Linked DNA regions of Drosophila melanogaster. The protein of the gene in region 2 interacts with the protein of the main gene of each other region in a pairwise test. Each region holds a gene or a part of one and is shown on either strand. Other genes may lie near its edges.

Region 1 (2,863 bases), on a different chromosome or scaffold from region 2:
TAGATTACGCGTTTGAAAACGTTTTCTGAAAGTGAACGCAATTTTAACTGCGTGTAGATAAAGTGGATCTATAAACGTTCGTTTTATATTGTAGACGACAAACAATATATTATTTTATTCCACAACATAAAACGTTATATATCTACTTGATTTATAAAAGTATTTACAGGTAACCACCAGGGGCTAATATTATTATCTAAAATTTCTAAAACAAATTGATAATCAAAAAAACATCTACACAGCTGGCCCAAAGTAAACGAATGTGTGTTTGTTTAATCATATTTACTTTTGATTCATGAAAAACGAGATTCGACTGATATGTTGGTATATAAACCAGAGGATTGAGCTTTCTTCGTTTAGATCACAAAATCTCCCCAAAACGAAAATGAAACTTCTTCTGGTTCTGGCATTGGCAGTCTTCGTAGCCCACGTGGCTGTGGCCCAGACAACTGATTCGTCTGACGATGGAGATTACTCTTACGATTACGCTGATGACAACGATACTGCCGGTAGCTCCGAAGACAACACTGCTGATTCTGGAGACACTAGTGATAGCTCCACTGACGTCGACAGTGGAAACGACTCTGGGGACGTCGATTCCTATGACGACTACGAGGGCTCTAGCGATGTTACGGAAGCACCAACTGCTGCTCCAGTTGTCAAAAAGAACAAAAGAGCTGGTGCCAGGAAAAACAACAGGAACAACAAGAATAAGGCAGCAGCTAAACGTCGCAATGCCGCCGCTGCCAAGAAAAGTAATAACAAGAAGGCGGCTAAGAAGCGAACACCTGTTGCCGCCAAGAAGCGGGCAAATGCTGGACCCAACAAACGTAGGCGCTCTGGATAAATCCAGTTTATTATATTCGTAGCTACAAATTATAAAAATAAAAAATTATACCAAAAAAATTTGTTCCCAAAATTACCAAGATTTTTTTCTATGACGTTTATAAGTTAGGTTTTGAATTAATATATAATAATGATAATGATATTTACCAAGAATGTGGTTGTTGGGTATGGGTGTTTATTATTATGAATTTTGTACAAAACTTGAATATCACAGAAATTTTGAAATATATTTAACTATTTCACCCAATGTTCAAAAGACAAGAAAACATTCTACATAAGTTTTTATCGGCACGTGTTTTTTCCCTCATTTGTAAATAAATATATTTTTGATAAACAAAAACATACACCGCATATACTTGAAAAATTATATAATTTTAAAGACGTTTAATGTCATATCTATTTTTTCTATAAAACTACTAGCAGGTCGCCTAACGCGTAAACCATAGACAAATTGTTCAAAAATCCAGATAAGACATTTGTGACCTTGGCTCTTTTAATATAAAAGAGTTTATATTACTTTTTCGTGCTCTAACACAAAATATAATTTCATAATTTCAACATATAGCAATCGAAAAATGTTAAACAAATACAAGCAGCACACACAGGTGCTCTAAGCCACCGAAAATTAAGACGATGAATTAAAAAACCAATATTTGCATTCTACAGATGTACATAGAAAAATAATGTAAAAAAGCTTTATATATTTATAAATTTCTTCAGAGGAGAAAAAACTATAAATACCCAGTGTTGAAGACTTTTAAACTCAGACGTTTATACCTAAGGTTACCTATCTGTTCGTTGACTCTATAGATACAAAAAAAAAAAGATGAGGCTGCTGTTGGTTTTAAGCCTGGCCATATTGGTTGCCTTCGTAACGGGTGCTGATGACACTGACGATGACTATTACGATTATTACGACTATGGTGATGACTACTATGACGACTCTGATGTAGAGTCCAGTTCGGAAAGTGGTGTTGGTGCATCCAGTAGCTCAGAAGATGATGCTAGTACCTCCGAGGACAGTTCCTCCGGCGAAGCTTCCGATACAGGTAGTTCTTCAGAAACTTCTGGAGATGGTTCCTCCGCCGAAACGACCTCCAGTTCAACTCCAACCAAGGCAGAAAAAGCCAAGAAAACTGCTGCACGCAGAGCTAGACGGCGCAGGCGCACCACCACCGCTGCTCCCAAACGCAAAGTAGCGGCAGCCGCGTCTGCCAAGAAGCAAACACCTGTTGCCCAAAAGAAGAAGACACCTGTGGCAGCCAAGAAGAAGGCGAATACTGCCGCCAACAAACGCAAACGCACAGGCTAAGCAGTTCGAAAAAAGGATAAATTCCCCATAGTCACTGAAAGTTTTTACATCAAACTTTTAAGAGGACCAAGAGACATCTTGTAGAATCTACATTAGTCTGGGAATATTTCATATGTTGTTTTCTGTACAAAAAATCCATATAAAAATACAAAGATAAGGAGACGTTTTGTAATTTACCAAAAATATACATTATTAATCCAAAATATACAACAATTTTGTATTTGAGGGCTTAAATGATCTTTCTTCGGAGAGAAACTAATCATTACAAATCGTTTCTGAATACTTAAAATCGAAAGCCAACTAAAAATCAAGTATTCCTTAAAAGGAAAAAAATTTTTTGAACGAAACATTCATTTAATAAACTGTTGTGGTTTATATACAAGTCTCTGCAGCCAGATTAGTATAAATCGTTCTAGTGGCGTAGTATTACCAAAGTCAGCTGCATTTTGCTGCATATTTTTAGGCGCCCACATTTACATTTACCAGCGCTTTGGCGCATTGTGTTTCTATTTAGACGTAAGCCAATAGCATCTATAAATAGTAATTATGCCCTCATACAAGTAGACATAAATGCACAGGGACACTTAATTACTGATGCGCACAGGCGACAATTGTTTAATGGCGAAAGGATAACGAAAAGGGAGGAGCCTGAGTAGCGCCATCGGCCACCACAATGGGACCATTGTTTTCGATTTCAATGCCGAC
Region 2 (4,730 bases):
AGGTGCTGCTCCTAAAGGTGCTAACGTTCTAGAAGAATTGCACGCAATTAAGCAAATAGAAAAGGAGTACAGGGAGATCGACTCTGAGATAGCCCAAGTGGAAAAGCAAATTGCGTAGGTGAACCAGTAACTTCTCATTGCCAATACTTACGCCTATCTGTTTTTAGATCCATTGAAAACCAGGCCCTCGCGTTCAACAAAATGAAGGAAAATCTTGACTTGCGACAGCACGAGCTAACCATGTGCGAGAACAGGTTGGCCCAAACAACCTTTCAACAGAATCAGGCTGAAATTGAAGAAATGAGGGAAAGGGTCAAGACCCTAGAGCAGCAAATAATTGACTCCCGTGAAAAGCAGAAGACCTCGCAAGCCAAAATAGTGGATATCGAGGCGAAGTTGGCAGATGCAAAGGGTTATCGCGAGCGAGAGCTGAATGCAGCCACCAACGAGATCAAGGTGACCAAGCAAAGGGCGGAGAAATCTCGTGCGAACTGGAAAAAGCGAGAGCAGGAGTTCGAAACTCTTCAATTGGAAATTACTGAGCTGCAGAAAAGTATCGAAACTGCAAAGAAGCAGCACCAGGAAATGATTGATAACCTCGAAAAGTTTAAGGCCGAGCTAGACGCTCTGAAAGTAAATAGCTCCAGTGCCGCGTCCGAGGTGACGGAGCTCGAACAGGCGATTAAGGAGCAGAAAGATAAACTGAGAGATCAGAACAAGGAGATGCGAAATCAGTTGGTCAAGAAGGAGAAAATGTTGAAGGAAAATCAGGAGATTGAGCTGGAGGTGAAGAAAAAAGAGAACGAACAAAAAAAGATCAGTTCGGATGCCAAAGAGGCAAAGAAACGGATGGAAGCCCTTGAGGCAAAGTATCCGTGGATTCCGGAGGAGAAGAACTGCTTTGGCATGAAGAATACTCGGTACGATTACAGCAAGGAGGACCCCCACGAAGCAGGCAACAAGCTGGCAAAGATGCAGGAGAAAAAGGACAAAATGGAACGCACTCTCAACATGAACGCTATCATGGTGCTGGATCGCGAGGAAGAGAACTTCAAGGAGACCGAGCGCCGGCGAAACATTGTGGCGATGGACAAGGAGAAGATTAAGAAAATCATAGTGAAGATGGACGAAGAAGAGCAGGATCAGCTGAACAAAGCCGCTACCGAGGTGAACACGAACTTCAGTGGGATCTTTAGCTCCCTTTTACCGGGTGCTGAAGCGAAACTCAATCCCGTCCATACCAATGGCTGTCTGACCGGTTTGGAGATTAAAGTCGGCTTCAATGGCATATGGAAGGAGAGTCTCGGTGAACTTTCTGGTGGCCAGAAGTCCTTGGTGGCTCTGTCCCTTGTCCTGGCCATGCTTAAGTTCTCTCCGGCTCCCTTGTACATTTTGGATGAGGTGGACGCTGCCCTGGACATGTCACACACCCAAAACATAGGTAGTATGTTGAAGCAGCACTTCACCAACTCGCAGTTCTTGATTGTGTCTCTCAAGGATGGTCTCTTCAACCACGCCAACGTCCTGTTCCGCACTCTCTTCGAGGAGGGTGTGTCCACCATCACCCGGCAGGTCAGCAGACAGGCGACAACCAACAAACGCTGAAATGGAACTCGTTTACTTTCTTATCACTTAATAAAACTTTAAAAATACCATATAAAACTGTTCTTATCATTTTAATTGTGAATTTTTTCAAGTTTTTTTAATTCGCAAAAAAGGTTGTGTATTACAGCAATATACTTATTTCAAGAGCCATCGGTCAATATACTTATTGCTACATTACTTAAATCAACGAAATAAGTAATTTAACTACAAATTTAATTTTGTAACGGTCGTTTGCGCATCAGCTGATTTCCAACCGGGCGGGCGAAACGTCAAACTGGTGAGACCGTCAAACGCACACACACACATACGCAGCGGACAGAAGAAGAAGAACGAAAGGCAGCAACAGCAATGTTTGAGGGAGTGAAAAATTAAACAAAAGTCCCCGGAATTCAGCAGCAAAAACTCGACGGCGGTTGAAAAACAAAACATCAAGATTTCGAGCCAACGCAGACTGCTTCAAAAGCTCACCATGGTAATTTGCAAGGTTCCAAAAATTACGAATCGTCCGATTCTTTTACCACACACACACACGACTTGTGCGTGTGTGTGTGCGGGGAGCAGCAAAATATTGTAGACACCGCTGGCATTTGGATAAACAATAGCAACAATTGGAGTGGTGTTCGAGGCGGGAAAAGCACCGATTTGTGGAATTTCATTCATTGGAATGTGGGATTGCTAATGAACCGTTTTACTCTTCCAGGATCGAGTGACCAAGCCGCAGAAGAAGATGCTCATCACACTGCTGCGGGAAACCAAGTACATGGAGGGCAAAAAGGAGAAGGAGTGGTATTGGGAGAAGATCCAAGCGGCCCTTAATACTATTGGTCCCAAGAAGACGATTATTCAGTGGAAAAAGGTGCGTTTACTTGCCTATTAAATCCAAAAATAAACTTTAATCTTCTTCCAGTGCTGGCGCGATATGCGACTGACCACAAGGAAAAAGCTGGCGGAACTGAAGCGCTGTCAACTCTCTGGAGGATCTCCACCACCGGGGATCGAACTAAACCAGGAGGACAACGATATCATCGACATTGTGGGCACCGAGTACTTCTACGAGGAGATGAATGGTGAGCTCAAGGCGGAGAACTTCTTGACCGGCTTGGACTACGCCCCGGAGCATCTGTGCGATGCTATTCTCACGGCAGCAGTGGGCCATCACCAGCACAATATGCAGCACCAGAAGGATCCGCAATCGCATGCAGGGCAACAGCAGCAGCAGGATCATCACACCAACGATGGCGAAACCAATGATGCTCCTGGATCAAGCAATGGTGGCTCATATCAGGGACACCCAGTATCCCAGTTGCAGGCGCACAATGGCAGCGGTGGAGGAGGCGAGCATAGCGGCGGTGGTCAATCCCACTCCGGAATGCTCCAGCACCCTGCTTTTCACGGTGGCTTGCATCCACACCTGTTGAGGCGCCAGCATGGAAGTGGATCACTATCCAGAGAGTCGCCATTTGAGGAGAAGCTTCTGCAGTTCATGCAGGATGCATTTCCAAAAAAGAGCAAGAAGCGCAAGAACCGGGATCCCGACAAGCTGTTCCTCTTATCCCTGTACGAAGAGATCAAGAGAGTTCCGGAGGAGATACGCCTTGATGTAAAGTCCGAACTAATGCAGATACTGAAGAAGTATCAGAAGAAGTCGCCTGTCAAAGCGGAGAAGCCCGCGCCCTCCTCTACGTCAACCTCCTCAAAACTCAGCTCTAGCAGCAGTGGCAGTAGCACGGTGACTACTCACTTGTCCCACAGCATGTACCAGTTGCAAAAGAAATACGAAAAGGGCGAGCGTGAACCATCGCCTCAATCACAGGTAGAGCGAGTAGCATCTGCAGGCGCAGTTGCTGTGCCCATTCATACCTCCCAGCAGCTGCCTCTTTTCCAACTTCAGAAGAAGTACGAGGAGAACAGCGTGGAGAAGGTTCATCAGCAGCAACAGCAACAGCAAAGCGAGCAACGCAAGCATGTGGAGGCCGCTCAGGCCCTTCATGCTGCCCACCAGCAACCGCCTCCACCGCCACCCAATGAGCACCTGCACCACCCCCAGATGGCCCACAACATCATGTTTCCGCTGGGACAGCTTCGCAACGAGCAGCCGACCGCACAGCAACACCAGCATGGCCACAATCCCCACCAGCAACAGCAACAGCATCCCCACCAGCAGCAGCAACAGGGACAGCAACACCATCCGCCAACGATCTTCGGATCGACCGCCAGCGAACGGCCTCCAATGTCCTACGAAAATGTCGGATGAGTCCTGAGCCGTCTGTGGGAAGCCACTTGTGGAGCACCACGCCCTGCGACGGTGTCCCCCACGACGGCAGACGCGCACAGCTGTTAGCCCTCGATTTAGACGGCAATTCGTAGGTCTCATTCTTATGCTAGCCTATACCTAAGTACACATTGCTCACTACACTACTACAGTCAAAAATGGTGCAGTCAATGAGGAAGATACTCCTGATGTATGCCATTTTGTAGTAAGTGGATGCCGTGATCCTCATGTAAATGTTCCCGTGGCAATAACAGCGTAGCTCAACTGTGACTCAAGTTCTCAATAGATCGCGACGCATACATTTTTTCGGTGTAAATACAAATATAATTGAATCTTAAAAACTGTGGATGTTTTTTAGTTCAAGTAAAATGATTGATCCCCAACTTCTGGCAAGAGCTCCCTATTCCCAGGTTTTTGTTTTTCTGGCCAAATCGGAGAAGTCATTGGCTTAGCTCTGAGGTGGAATCCACAATCTTGTTTGTTTGGACTTTGAAAAGCTGTAAATCCGGCAAGCGGTCCGTCGTTAAGCTGTCTTCAGGAATATCTAGTCTTCATCTCTCGTAACGCGATAACGAAACCCACAGGGAGCACGCCATATCATAAAGATAGTCAAACAGCTGACTGATCCGGTCTGCCTAAGTGCGAATTTCAACTGAGCGCTGCCGATCGCCGAACTCGTCGTTGTCTGTCGCATGTTGGGCAGGTTGATGAGCGATCACGAGCCGAGCTGCAGCATAGTCCGCCAGATCTGCGGCGCTTATCAGTGGCGTCCGGCTGGGATAAAGAGATACAGATACAGATACAGGCGGATCGACTGGAGGCAGACTGGGTCTGGCATTCTTTTCCGGCAGCT
Region 3 (4,785 bases), 990 kb from region 2:
GCCGGCCGACGGTCCACACTTTGTCATGGCCATGTTATTATGGAATTCACATTTGATTTAATTGCCGAGCCCGGGAGTCCTTCGTCCAGCTCCCTTGCCGCTTTTCAGCTCGTAAAACCACCGAAATGCGCGTGTTAAGCCACCGAACCACCGCACGCACCACACACTCCCCCTTTGAAATAAAAAAAAAAAACGGAAAAAACACCAAACAGAACGAGAAAAAAAGAACTCGAAATTAAGTTGTTCATTAGGTTTTTTTTGGACCTTCTCAGTCTCCGTCTCAGTTTTTCGGTTACCACTCACCGCGAACGGGAAACTCGTGCTGGCCGTTAAGGCCATAAAGTTAGCAGTTGGCCCGGGGCCACGATTTGGCCGACAGTGCGATAAGGATTGCAAATCCACTCGGTTTTGTAGAAAGTGAAATAGACATTCCGGCCAAATCCAATTTGGCCGCAATGAAAGGGTTAATTTCCCCTCTGGCGTGCTGCTCGCCCATTTCTCTGGAATTTTTCGTGGCCCAATCGAGGCCAGTGAGCAGTCAAAACTAAATAGTTCCGGACATAGTAGCAACCCCTAGAAATATGCGACTATTCCACTTGCTTTGCCACTTCTACACGTGTTAATTATCAATTATTGGGTACGATCCATCCTTAGAATGCTGAAAAATGTATCTTGCAGAACACAAAAACCTAAATTTGAGGTATTACTTTTGGAAATATATCTAATCTAACTAACAAGCAGTGATCCAAAGTATCTGGTGAGACCAAAAAATCCCCTCTAATTTTAAGAGACCTTATAAAATGTGAACGCGTAGCAAAGGTTTTTTCCAGATCCACAACGGCTACAATTTTAAATGTTGAATGCGATCTTGAGGCCAAATTGCGAGTTATATATATAGGGATGTTGCTAATCTGGGTTCTCGAGAACCGCTTTCTGGTTTTCAGGGGGGATAATATACGAGTATAATTAGTATCTTCCCCAAGTGCTACCGATTTCTCCACAATCCTCAACTCGTAAGTCTCAATTAGCTCCGTGCACATGTCAAGCGGAACAGACATAAAAACCGATAGAAATTAGTTAAACATACAATAATTTAAATTCGTGCGATTACCGAAAGTGGAACCGACAGGTTGGCCGAGCTTCTGTTTCGGAACCCTCTCCCTTGATTTTATTTTTTATCATTTGCTGCCCCCCCCGCAGATCAATGGATCGATCGAAGCCAGAGCCAAGCGGGGCATTAACAGCCGCTAATTAAAATAAAAAAATTATAATAAAACGTACGCTTCACCATTTGAATATGATTAGCTTGCTCTTTCTGGACCACGCTTAAGTAAGTTGTCCGACGGCTCGTTGCCTCGTTGCCGATGGCCAAAAGCCCCGAAAGCCGGTGGCTTGGGCTTTGGCTTAGAAAGCACACAAGTCAATGGGCCATAATGGCAGCCAGAAACGACGGCATGACAAAGAATTAATTAGCATACGATTTTTGACTTTTGTCGCTCGCCGTGGTCGTGGGAAAACTAAAGTCTGGCCAAAAAGGCAGTCATCGATCGTTGGCAGTCTGGCCAACGATCGATTGGTCCGCTTTAAATGAGTTATCTCGGTGCGGCGGAAGTTCAATTGGCCGTAGTTTTGCATTGCAAATTCGATTCAGGCCATCCGGTGGCATCTTCCACTTCATTCACAACATGAATATTATTCGAATATTATTGGAATCGAATCTTGGCCGAAACTAACGCCGCCGGTTGAATGAAGATCGCCCCGTTTGGTTCCGTTCAGACTCGATCCGTTAGATCAGATCGTCGTTCATTAAGAAATAAGCCGATCGATGGCAGGGCGTTGGGTCTGGGGGGACGAGGTCGGACTTGAGACCGATGTGTCGAACTCGATAAGCAAATATCGTTATTAAAGTCTTTCAAAAACGCCGCAACCTGATCGGGAGCGACTCGATTTTTAATGATTTAGTTGTTGAGAAAGCAAATTATGCGCAAACAAATTGATTACGATCGTTTATGGTGGTCATTATGGGCAGGTCGATGGATGCGACCAGATCTTAATTAAGACGCCGATAAGTCATCGTCGTTAGCTTTTGTCAAGTGTTGGCATAATATTACGGATTAGAATGTGTCTGCACTCAAAATGCAATGTGTGCACTTTTCACCAAGTTCAATTAAGCTTATCTGGTCTCGAGTAGAAAACGAGATAGCACATCTGGCGTAAAATCCAAATCAACAAAATATACAATCTAAAAACTTGTCAGTGAACTAATAAAGTTGTCATCTAATTTCATTTAATGAAGCAGATTCAAATAAAAGCTCAAATTTATTTTCAGATCCAAGCAAATGTATTCTAACTAATTTATGCCAATAATAATGACAATTCGTTATAAACGATCTATGGAATATTATAACAGATACTTGAATCTGCTAGTTTTTTATCTTTTTATGTTCTATTTTTTATAATCTAGATAGCAAATGAACACTTAAACTTTACCAATTCAACATAACTTGGTGAAGCTCAATTTAAAAACGTTGTGCAAGCATAAAAGCTTGACCAAAAACGGATAATCTTCCATGAATAGTATCTTTCCTAGATGGTTATACTTTTGAAATATATAATTCAAAAGATGTGCTCACCTTAAACTTAGAGCACTGAATTCGCCGGCTATCCAATAACTTTGCCGCAACTTGGTTCGAATCCTTTGATCACTTGAGCACAACACTTTCCGCTCGAGTTTTGCATGCACCGTGTGGCTTATTCCGCGGATAATGGCCGATTACTCAGTTCGGAGGCGCGACGGCTAATGGCTTCTGTATGATTCTTATTTGGGAGTTCGGAACGCGACGCACCTTGTCACTCGACCGTCAAAAATTCGACTAACTGCACGCGAATCGCGGGACCGGCGCATCGATTCGATCAATTTTTGTGGCAGTGGCAGTGGCGGTAGCAGTGGAAATTGAGAGTTGGCTTCGTGCCTCGCCCGCGGTCCATCAGCCGACAATTTCTACTGAAGCGCCGCCAAGCAGAGCGGCCCAAAACGCCACCGAAAAGCCGCCGCTCACTAACACACTCGTAATACGCGGCCCGCACACACTGACACAAGCGTTCACGGACTCACGGACGAACCGTTTTTCTGGTGTAACCGGTTTTTCACGGCTGCGACGTCCGCGTCGGTTTCAGCCCCATTTGGCCCACCGCCAGCCAATGAGAGCCAATCAGAGAGCTGGCCCGGTGCGCATGCGTCGCACGCTGCGCCGACGGTGAGCTGCCATTGGCCAGATTCGGCAGCAGGGGTGGGGGCCAGGTGACACGTCCTCCGGGAGCGAAATCGACACGGGCACAGTGGGTCAAGTGTGAAGCTAGAGGCTAGTGGGCTAGGTCGATTTCAACAGCATAGAAAACCGCATTGAAATTAGGGGTAATTACGTAAAGCCACTATATTCAGAGAGTGACTAATACGCAGTTACCTTTGTAGATAAACATTGCTAATCTGGTTAGTTGATTAGTTGGTTAGTAGTAAAAATTGTGATGATACTCAAGTGCAGCTAACTAAACTATCTTTGTGATTTAAGAGTTCAAAACTTTTTAGGATTACATTGTAATATATTTGGGAAGAAAGGAAACCTTATAGAAGCATGATACCATGACCTTTTACATTAAAGCTACTTTGAAATGTTAAGAATGAGCCACCTGATTTGAAACTAATAGTTTAGTGTCAAAATTGTTTTTCTAACTTGGTACACAAACTTAATGTTATGAGCAAAAACCGAGCAAGTTCAGTACAATCCAGCTTGCAACTTTTGCTCCACTGTGCGATTGCATGACGTCCGTGCAGCCCGCCTTCGCTCTGTGAACGCTCTGGGGGTAGTAGAATTTGGTGTGGATGGTCGGCGAGTTCCGGCCAGAGAGCGTTGCGGCAGAGCGTAGCCTTATCCGTGGCCGTTTCCGCAGCCGATGCGTTGCCGTTGCAGCCGCGTTCCGGCCAATCGGCGGAGGCAACGCAGCACGCAAACGCTCTCACTCCCGCCCCCCGCCCACGTCCTGCATCGTGTGGTTCATAGAAACTGATAGTGTATGTATCTCGCCCACTCCAAGGACCCCATCCACATCCACATCCGCATTGTGACACTGCATAGCCGTTACCCTGGCGAAACAGCCACAGCTACGGCCACAGCTACGGCTCGTCCTTGCCCACCCGCTGGAAACTCCCGGGGGAGAGGAGGAGGAGGAGGAGTAGGAGGAGCGGCAGGAGGCGGAGGTCGTTGGGTGGGTGTCGGCGTTAAGTAACGCTCGGTGGTGCCGCAGGCGTTAATTGAATTCGACAATTGTCGCTCGGCATTCACAATTGGAAATGGATTTTCACTGCGACGGCGACTGGTGCTGAAAGATAAAGCTGTCACATTGTTTGTGATTGTTCCAAGGGAGGAGTCCGGATTATTGATCCATTCGAGGTACCGAACATGATGAATGGAAATTAGTTGCCATGACTAGGAAATCAATGGTCCCTAGCAGGGGGAACTCCTGATCCACCAAGACTGGCTAAAGCCTAACCCGTTTTTTGGAGCCGCGTGGCGTATGCAAATCCACTTGCTACCAAAAACCACAAAAACCTGTGCGAAAACATGCAAAATTCTTAGGCCCACTCAGCGCGATGGCTTTCCCATGGCAGGAGGATGGCAAGAGCTTGGCAATAGCTTCTGCTGGCCAGAGATAAAACTGTCACAAAGGCCGGGTTGCCGGTAACCATTTGCCATTTACCAGCCATCCGAGCTATCCGAGCAGCTGCCT

Evidence for each region. The genes of interacting proteins can lie anywhere in the genome.
Region 1: the proteins of CG10209 (region 2) and CG9040 interact in a two-hybrid assay, tested with the Drosophila melanogaster proteins (2 studies listed by BioGRID).
Region 3: the proteins of CG10209 (region 2) and Poxn interact in a two-hybrid assay, tested with the Drosophila melanogaster proteins (2 studies listed by BioGRID).

Annotation. Positions count from the first base shown.
Region 1 is NT_037436.4:13,986,270-13,989,132, forward strand, and holds CG9040 (uncharacterized protein), read left to right. Parts: upstream 1-1,608; 5' UTR 1,609-1,672; coding exon 1,673-2,158; 3' UTR 2,159-2,357; downstream 2,358-2,863. Other genes in the region: CG17362 (uncharacterized protein), read left to right, coding at 386-847.
Region 2 is NT_033778.4:14,845,547-14,850,276, reverse strand, and holds CG10209 (uncharacterized protein), read left to right. Parts: upstream 1-1,910; 5' UTR 1,911-2,074; coding exon 2,075-2,077; intron 2,078-2,305; coding exon 2,306-2,461; intron 2,462-2,512; coding exon 2,513-3,859; coding exon of another isoform or gene 3,860-3,946; 3' UTR 3,947-4,213; downstream 4,214-4,730. Other genes in the region: SMC2 (structural maintenance of chromosomes 2), read left to right, coding at 1-114, 168-1,605.
Region 3 is NT_033778.4:15,832,050-15,836,834, forward strand, and holds the start of Poxn (Pox neuro), read right to left. Parts: upstream 3,007-4,785; 5' UTR 2,634-3,006; intron 1-2,633. UniProt on the Drosophila melanogaster protein: Transcriptional regulator that specifies poly-innervated organs (chemosensory bristle). Also controls the number of neurons.